Danio rerio: one gene and its partner. The protein of the gene in region 2 interacts with the protein of the main gene of each other region in a pairwise test. Links are inferred from orthologs where the notes say so. Each region holds a gene or a part of one and is shown on either strand. Other genes may lie near its edges.

Region 1 (4,515 bases), on a different chromosome or scaffold from region 2:
TTCGAGCTGACAAACGCAACAGTAACTCAAATAAGCACTCGTTACAACCGTGGACTGTAGAACAGCATCTCTGAATGCACAATACGGCCAACCTTGAAGCGGATGGGCTACAGCAGCAGAAGACCACACCGGGTGCCACTCCTGTCAGCTAAGAACAGGAAACTGAGGCTACAATTCACACAGGCTCACCAAAATTGGACAATAGAAGATTGGAAAAACGTTGCCTGGTCTGATGAGTCTCCATTTCTGCTGCGACATTCGTATAGTAGGGTCAGAATTTAGTGTCAACAACATGAAAGCATAGATTCATCCTGCATTGAGTCAATGGTTCAGGCTGGTGGTGGTGATGTAATGGTGTGGGGATGTTTTCTTGGCACACTTTTGGCCCATTAGTACCAATTGAACACCATGTCAACGTCACAGCCTACCTAAGTATTGTTGCTGACTGTGTTCGTCCCTTTATGACATGACCACAGTGTACCCATCTTCTGATGGCTACTTCCAGCTGGATAACGTGCCATGTCATAAAGCGAAAACCATCTCCGACTAATTTCTTGAACATGACAATGAGTTCACTGTACTCAAATGGCCTCCACAGTCACCAGTTCTCAATCCAATAGAGAACCTATGGGATGTGGTGGAACGGGAGATTGAACTGTGTGATTCTATCATCTCAATATGGACCGAAATCTCTGAGGAATATTATTACCAGTACCATTTTGAATGTTAACCACAAAGGATTAAGGCAGTTTTGAAGGAAAGGGGGGTCCCCGGTACTAGTAAGGAGTACCTAATGAAGTGGTCGGTGAGTGCACAAGCCTACACACACACACAAAAAAAAACTAGAAAGTAAAAACTTTATTTCATGGAAAGGTTGACATTTGTATGGAATGGCTCAAATACAGAAATAGTTGAAATCTAGAAATAGTATAAAGCCCAAACGTGCGAATATAAAACCAAGTTTACCTCAGTGTAAAAGCACACGCGTGTCAGCTGACTGTCGGCTGCACAGGGAGGGAGCAGCGGGCGACATCTTGGATTCATGAGTGAGCGGTGACCGCAGCCTGGAACATCAAATCCGGTCAATAACACCGAGCTTCGGTCAGAACCGAGCACATCTGTGTCCGCCAAGCCGGTTTTGGTCGGGAGGGACATCCAGAGACAAACACGGAGGGGTGAGTTGGGTGAATTCACCGGCCGGGTCTGTCGTGACACCGCCGAGCTGAGCTAGTTAGTTAGCTTAACCAGCTAACCAGCAGGACGCGGGCGTTTTACATTAACGTTAGATTCGCTTATGGAAATATGTCGAATGATGACATGTATATGTGGTATTAGGGAACGGTTATCTGAAGAAAACGCCGTTTAAACGTATTAAATCGTGATGTCTGTGTTTTTGAATGGGAGACCTTTACATAACGTTACCTCTACAGCTCGCGATTTCTGGCTAATATTTTGACGTTTTAATAATAAACCCAGCCTTTTTCTGTTAGAATTATGCAGAAAGCTTACTGTGAACGGTATATATTGGTGTTTATTAGAGTTTTCTGTCATTTTTGAGTCGAGACAGACAGTCGCAGTGCGCTGGTCTCCATCCGCAGACATGATTGATGCTGCAGAGAATTGTACATTTATTAAAAATCATCACTGGAAATAATGGAAACATCATAAATTCCCGGTTAGCTCCGTAACTGCTATATGATTTTTCCTTTTTTTCCCCCTCCATCAGCAGCCATTATGGATGTTGTAGGGCTAAGGAATGACATCATCATCAAAATATTCATTATGTTCTTATGATATTTAGAATTACTCATAAAACTGTAACCTTTGTGGTGTCACAATGCTTACTCCTAATGTTGTTTTGTCGAGTAATCTTGTGTTGACAGGCTATGTGGTCTGTCTGTGTGTTAATATTAATTTTACACAATGCAGAGGTTTACCCATGCATATTATCCTTGGTCATTTTGGTTTAGACTTGCTTCAGTTGTTCCTGTCATTTCTGCTTGATTCAGTATAAGGGTCTCTCATCATCCAGATAGATGTGTAAATGTGTCTATAACAGGAAACGCAGGATAGATTAAGTTATAGTGTGATTTTTATAAAAGCTTACATGTGTGTTTTTGTGTTATATGTGATGGAGAATAATTTTATGATTAATAAAGAAAGATGCGAGCGAACATGGATGTCCCATTTGAGGAGGAAAAGACATAAGTGGCAGAATTATATCTTTATATTATTTTAAAAAAAAAATTAATAATTATTTTTCGTTTTTTTTTATTTCACCTTTATTATACAGGACAGTAGTGTTGAGACAGGAATACCTGGAAAATTTAGAGAGGGGGTGAAGGATCGGCGAAGGACCTTGAGCTGGGAATCAAACTCGGGTTATCGTGACCACCTCAGTGATATTTGCCGGCGCACTTTACCTCCAGACTTTCACAGTATATGCAATGTTGTACTAGTATTATGATTTATCATTTGTATGTGTTTTTGATGTCTCTGATTGTGTTTGGGCTGTCACGATACTGGAATTCGATACCTATCGGTTCTGAATTTAAAAGACATCCATTTCCTGCTAACATTTGGGCACTGTTGTTAAGCACTTTCTTAAACAGGGTTGATTTGCCATTGTGGTCATGTGCTCAACAGAAGTGACAAATTGGCCATGAAGGTCATCGTTTCACCGAACTCACTGCTGTTTACTGATTGTAACTAAAGATACAGCGAACACTGGAGTGTTTCAAAGTCGCGTCTATCAGCTGGTTTGTCTGTAAGCTGACATACGAGCGATTCGCTGATGAATCGCGGAAAAAAACACAAATTTTTATTTTATTATAAAGAGATTCGATATTTTTTGTAAATATGACTATTTAAGCTACTTGCCTTATAATATTCCTAAATGTATTGTTAAAAAATATTAAATAATTACCGATATCGAATAATATGGAGCATAATACTGTGATATATTTTTTTCCAATATTGCCCAGCCCGCTTCACGGCCAATCACAGTCATTTCAGTTGAGCTTGTGAACTCAATGGCAAATTAGCGGTGCTTAAGAACGTAATCAAAAGCACTTACATGTTAGCGGAAAATGGACGTTATTAAAATTTCATTACCGTTTAATATCGAATTCCAGTATCGTGACAACACTTAATTGTAAATTGATTTCAAAAGCATTCAAGTATTGTGATAGGGTTGTGTCGATAGACGATGCCTTCGTCCATTGCCGATGGCCGACAAACTTTTATCCCCACATTTATATTCATATATAACTTATTTGCATGTCATCTTAATAGCAATAATGGTCTTTTCATGAGTTGTGCTAAATATTACTTATAGCTGGCGCTTGCACGGCTGACAGCATCGTGAGGATTAAATGAAGGCTTATATAGTAACTCTCGAACTTATAATGTGTAAATTCAGTGGCAAACGCTGTTACCTGCAAACCCCGTCCTACAGACTATACAGTGAATGGCTTTAGTCATTTTCATAGCGGACTTGAAACACTGGAAGTCTTTTATCCACTCTTGGAAAAGTGTAAATGGATTAACATTCAGCACATGATCACTAATAAGATGTGCCATTATTAGTAACTTTAGGTAAATCTGTCAGTGTTATTTTCATTCTCTCATCTTCAGCGCTTCACATTTTCACAGTTGTAGCTCCTGTCATCTGAAGGCAGAAGGCATTAACTGAGTGATTGACAGCTGATATTAACCAATCAATCGCGTTCAGTTAGAGCAGTGAGCCAATAAGAAGAGCACACATGGACACTGGAGCGTTTCAAAGTCGATCAGCTGGTTTGTGTTCAAGCTGACATACGAGCGATCTGCTGAGAAATCACAACTTTAAAACGCTCCAGTGTCCCTGTATCTGTAGTTACACTCAGTAAACAGCGGTGAGTTCGGTGAACAGATGATCTTCTCGGCCAATCACAGTCATTTCTGTTGTGCATGTGAACACAATGGCAAATCAGTGCTGATTTAAAAACGTGCTCAACAGCACTTAAATGTTAGCGGGAAATGGACTTCAGGCTTTTTATTAGCTTGTCATGGGTATTCTTGGGTGTTTCCAAGGTTCAGATAGAGAGGATTACAGGAGCAGGGTGTTAAGAGAAGATCTTCACGTGTTGTCAACATTGTCGTGGTTGTGCACTTTAATCTCTCATTAAGTCTCCCAATGAGAGATTTAATTTAGCTTGTTTTGGTATATTTTTACACTTTAAGCTTAAGCTAAATTCAAGGTAAACTGAAACATAATGCACTTTAAAGTTAAATCAGATTTTATAAATTATTTTGTCCATTGACTGACGTTTTGGCTCCTCTTTATTCAGTTTTCCAGCATGGCCTGTGAACACTGAGTTTAACCGCCACCATGATTGGAGGACTCTTCATCTACAACCACAAGGGCGAGGTGCTGATCTCCCGTGTTTACCGCGATGACATTGGGTAAGTCTATGTGATGTGAGATCTAAGCATTTGGGAGTTAGGTGTAATTAAGTAATTTTGGTTGAGGTG
Region 2 (4,515 bases):
CACAGAACTGCCCCAGATGAGAAACAATGGGAATCAAATTGGTCCCATTGCATCTCACGCTCTCCTCCTCCTTTGTTTCTGCCTCTTAGAAGAGGAGGGCAGGCCTCAGCGCCGCAATCGAAGCCGCCGCCGCCGTAATCGTGCCAACCGTCCTGAAGGAGGCTCCACCAGCCGTGACCGACAGCCAGGTGATTAATTATGTACATTAATGAGAGAGGAGGAACGGTCAAATGTAGGAGGAGCACCAGCATGGAGAGGAAATATTAAGTTGCACAATACACATAAATCATATTCTGTGTTGCCAGTTGTGTAGAAATAATGCCAATTCAAAGCCATGTGTTTTAGTGCTAATAATTTATTATAACTTCATATAACCTGATTGTGCAGAGCTGCTTGAAGAGAAGTACACTTGTGTATATAATAATAAATAACTAAATATTCAAAAACCCATCCAAAAATGTGTATAGATGTGTAAAATGTGTCGGCAGATGGTTGGATAGGGTGAGATTCTGCTTCTGATCATATTTAAAGCTAATTTATTTTGACCATATAATTGGGCTGTTGTTGTATATTATTGTAAATAATTTGGGTGGTTAATATGAAGTCATGTCTTCTAAAAGATGTGAATACAGCTATAAGAGCTGTTTCAATGCTACAAGATTTGAGTCCACCTGTTTGATCTCCCCTGCTGCTTTCCCTCTTCTGACTACTGTTGCCGGTGTTGTTGGTATAGTTACTGTTGCTGACTTCATCTCTCGTGCCGAGTCCCAGAGCAGACAGAATCTCCCGGGGAAGGAGGCCAACCCACACGTGTCCCATCCTAAGGTCTGCACATACTACAACACAAGACACATAATTATGCATGATTGTGAACGTCTTTACTGTGCATGTACGTTTTTGTTTTGTTTTGTTTTTTTGGTAAAAATTTACTATGACAGTTCATAAATTAATGTATTTACTAACATGAAAAAAACTTTAAGTAATACATTTATTACATTTTAGCTAACATTGGTTAATGTTATTAAAGTTACCTAACGTTAGTTTTAGTCTTAGGCCTGTTTCACACCGCAAGCGTGAGCAGAGCGTGAGCAGCACGTGTGTTTTCGGCGTCCATGTTAACAGATTAGAGCTTTCATACCGCACGCAGCAGCAGCGCATCAGAGCGAGGCGTGAGCGTCGCCGAAGCAGCAGTGCAGCGATAGTTTCGGCACTGGTTCTATTTTTGACGCGCTGCTCACGCTCAATTAAAGTGACAGTGCATTGATAATGACCAAAACACATTGAATGACAGTAAAAAGTAGCAATTTTACCCAATAAATGTGTTAATAATGTCAAATGGTTTATATATAGTCATTCAAATTAACTTAAAACGATTAAAAACGGCAACAAACATTTATTTAGGCCCAAACTACAAAACCAAATATAAAACAATTTTAGTATCAGTTTTGCTTAAGTTGCACACTAGTGTTGTAGGAGAGGGGAAATAGAATATTTACGGGATTTGTAGTCCATAGCGAAGTGTATTGTGGGTAGTGTAGTTCGACACGCATGCTGGATTATGTGAGCTCGCTGTGTTCTGTGCAGCTAAGCAGAGGAAGAAAGTTTTAATCGGCTTTGTTTTATGTTCACTCGGATTATTCCTACCGGGAGCTGTTTGCACTGTGAATCTGACAACACGAAAATAAGTAAAAGAATGGCATGCATTGGTTACTTTTGTCCGTCTCATCCTCTGCACGAGCATGAATTAACGAGCTGTTATTCTGCCGCTGGACATCACTGAAGCAGAGAAAGTAACACTAGTTTGATCATGTATAAATATCATTATAATTATATTGTATAAATATTATTATAACTAGGTCTACAGCAACCTGATAATCAAAAAACAAATGACATGATATCACAGGCAATTGTCTTTTGACTGTAGACACTTCTCATATAAGTTAGCTTAAGAAGCAGACAGTACTATTTGATCTATAAAATTTGTAAAATAAACATTTGCAGGTTAAAGAAACAGCATAGGAGGGGCCTTGGTGCAGATGAAAAGTTTAAAAAGTGTATTTGTATATGGAGAGACATGGGTAACTAGATTGAATAGACAGAGATAGGTTGATCTCTGCAGCAGCTGCCGAAGAGCTGCGCGCTGCAGACGCAGCTGGTGTGAAAGGCAAACGCCTGCGTGCTGCTACTGCTTGACATACACGCTGCGCACGCTCTGCTCACGCGCCGCTGACGCTTGCGGTGTGAAACAGGCGTTAGCCCACAGTCCATTATCTAATGTTAACAAGCACAATTTTGGATCTTAACGCAATAGTAAATGTTAAACTGTGATTAATGCTTTACAAGATTATTCATACTTCGTTGATGGGAGTGTCTGTCTGTCTGAATATCATTATATATGCTACATTCTGGCCTGATTGTTACTTTTACAAGTATTGCTTTTTTGAAAGCCGAGTAAAATGTCTGTGCCACCATTATAAAATATTCAAAGTAATCTTTTGGGTTAAAGCACAGCTTGACTAGCATTAGACTCAAAACATAGCATCAACAGTGTTTTATCTCTCTCTCCATCAGGAAAACGGGACCAGCGTGAGTAAGGAAGAGCGCACTCCTTCAAAGCGCTCGCCCAGTAACGGCGTGGCGTCGCCCGGTGAGGCTCTGGCCATGGTGAACGGCGTCTCCTAAAAAGTCATCTCGCCCCCTCAAGACCCACGTCTAAAGCAAGACACCATGGCGAACTCTGTCCCTGCTTGCATTCACGTAAACCTTTAAACTGACGAATGAAAATCGACTAAAATCCTTGAATTCATGAAGTCTACGAGAAAACAAAAAAAAAAAGTAAAAATACGACGAGCGCATCTACTTTAAACCACACATAACGGTGTATGTTTATCCTATCTATCAGTACTTAGTGCTTATTTAAGACAAGCTTGCCAAAAATGAGCTGATGGATATGACTCAAATTTCTGACGTAACACAGAAAACAGGACGTGACTATTTTGGGGTTTCGTTTTAGATTTTTTTAGTTTTCGTTGTTGCTGTTGTCGTTGCCGTCATTATTTGTTTTCGTTTGTTTGTTTGTACTCACTGGCGTGGGATTGTGAACACACTCCCCAACAGATATAGCATCTCTGAAAACAGTGTTAGCTAAATGAGGGCGGAGCTAGCGGAGAGGATTGAAGGCGGAGCCTCTCACGAGTGATTGACAGCTGAGTCTGTGGTACTCTGAATTTAAGGGCAAAAAGGGGAAGCGGAGAGACATTGTGCCTTGAATTTGAAAAAAAAAAAAAAACTTGAGTATTTTCTTTTTACCTTAACGTTTGCGTTCTCGACTGGATGAAGTAGATGGTTCCGTTTTGTTTTTGGTGTTTTTATTTTGTCTAAAGGATGGAGAGGATTGTGCGGATTAAGAGGAGTGCGGATTTTGGGGGAGAAGAGCGATAATTAATGCCAAACATGAAATTATGACATTTGTCCAAGGTCGTTATTTGAAAGCCGTTTAATGTGTGTGTGTGTGTGTGTGTGTACGAGTGTGTGTCTGTTTGTTCATGTGTTGTTGTGAGACATGAAGTAAAAGTGTATAAATTGGGAAGGACGTCATATGATCCAGGAGACGACAGTAGAATCCTAAATGTGATTCGATCTCTCTGATTGAGGTGGCACAAGTCTTTCCCAATAGAACAAGACCGAGACGGAAACAATCTAACAGACAGTGTTGATCATATTCAGTATTTCAACAGCCCACCATACGGTTTTGGGGAGAAGGGAGGCAGGATTATTGTGAGTGTAAAAGCTGGCATGCGTGTGCACACACACTCTCGGTAGCTTCCAGCCACCGCTGTCTGAAGGGCTGGATGGGGTTGAGGCCTCACCGGCGCCCCCTCTGGTGTGTATGGTTGGTCTTCGGTAAACAGTGAAACCCTTTTCTGATGAAGAGTCAGGCATTCGTTCACACACATACATGCATACATCCGAGAGCATTGTAATACACTCCAGTGTGCAGGAATGGAGCTTGGGTCTCTGCTCAGGAGGTTCAAGCGTTGGTTGTATTTCTGGTTGTCCCGATGAAAAGGGGAGGATTGTTCCCTTGCTGTTACTTGTCATCTTGGTTCCTGCTCTCAAAGATTGTTTTTTTTTTCTTTTCTTTTTTGGTTGTACTTTCCACATCATGAAAAAACAAAAAAGATTAAAAAGGAAGTGAAATAAATTATTTCTGGAATGACACCTGTGTGTGTTTTGCATTCTGTTTTCATTTCCGTCTGATTTCAGTTACGCGATTGATTGATGAATGGGGAATAAAAACGCATCGAAACTAGTAAAACTAAAACTTGTATTAAAAAAGCAATGATTTCATCTAGGACTTGCTTGTTAAAAGATCTTGCACAAAAAGACACATTTCACAGATTAAGTCAGAATTATTAGCCCCCCTCTATATTTATTTTCCCCAATTTATGTTTAAAGAAAAGCTTTCACACATTTTTAACACAATAGTTTAAATAACTCTTTTCTAATAACTGA

Evidence for each region. The genes of interacting proteins can lie anywhere in the genome.
Region 1: the proteins of fxr2 (region 2) and ap2m1b interact in binary tests that used the Homo sapiens proteins (3 or more experiments, as listed by UniProt). The link is inferred for Danio rerio from reciprocal best matches to the Homo sapiens genes FXR2 and AP2M1.

The regions. Positions count from the first base shown.
Region 1 is NC_133193.1:48,953,087-48,957,601, forward strand, and holds the start of ap2m1b (AP-2 complex subunit mu-B), read left to right. Parts: upstream 1-1,002; 5' UTR 1,003-1,175; intron 1,176-2,293; exon of another isoform or gene 2,294-2,613; intron 2,614-3,894; exon of another isoform or gene 3,895-4,331; 5' UTR 4,332-4,372; coding exon 4,373-4,446; intron 4,447-4,515.
Region 2 is NC_133182.1:22,740,638-22,745,152, forward strand, and holds the end of fxr2 (fragile X mental retardation syndrome-related protein 2), read left to right. Parts: intron 1-89; coding exon 90-188; intron 189-733; coding exon 734-825; exon of another isoform or gene 826-1,053; intron 1,054-2,256; exon of another isoform or gene 2,257-2,571; coding exon 2,572-2,682; 3' UTR 2,683-4,219; downstream 4,220-4,515. UniProt on the Homo sapiens protein: mRNA-binding protein that acts as a regulator of mRNAs translation and/or stability, and which is required for adult hippocampal neurogenesis. Specifically binds to AU-rich elements (AREs) in the 3'-UTR of target mRNAs.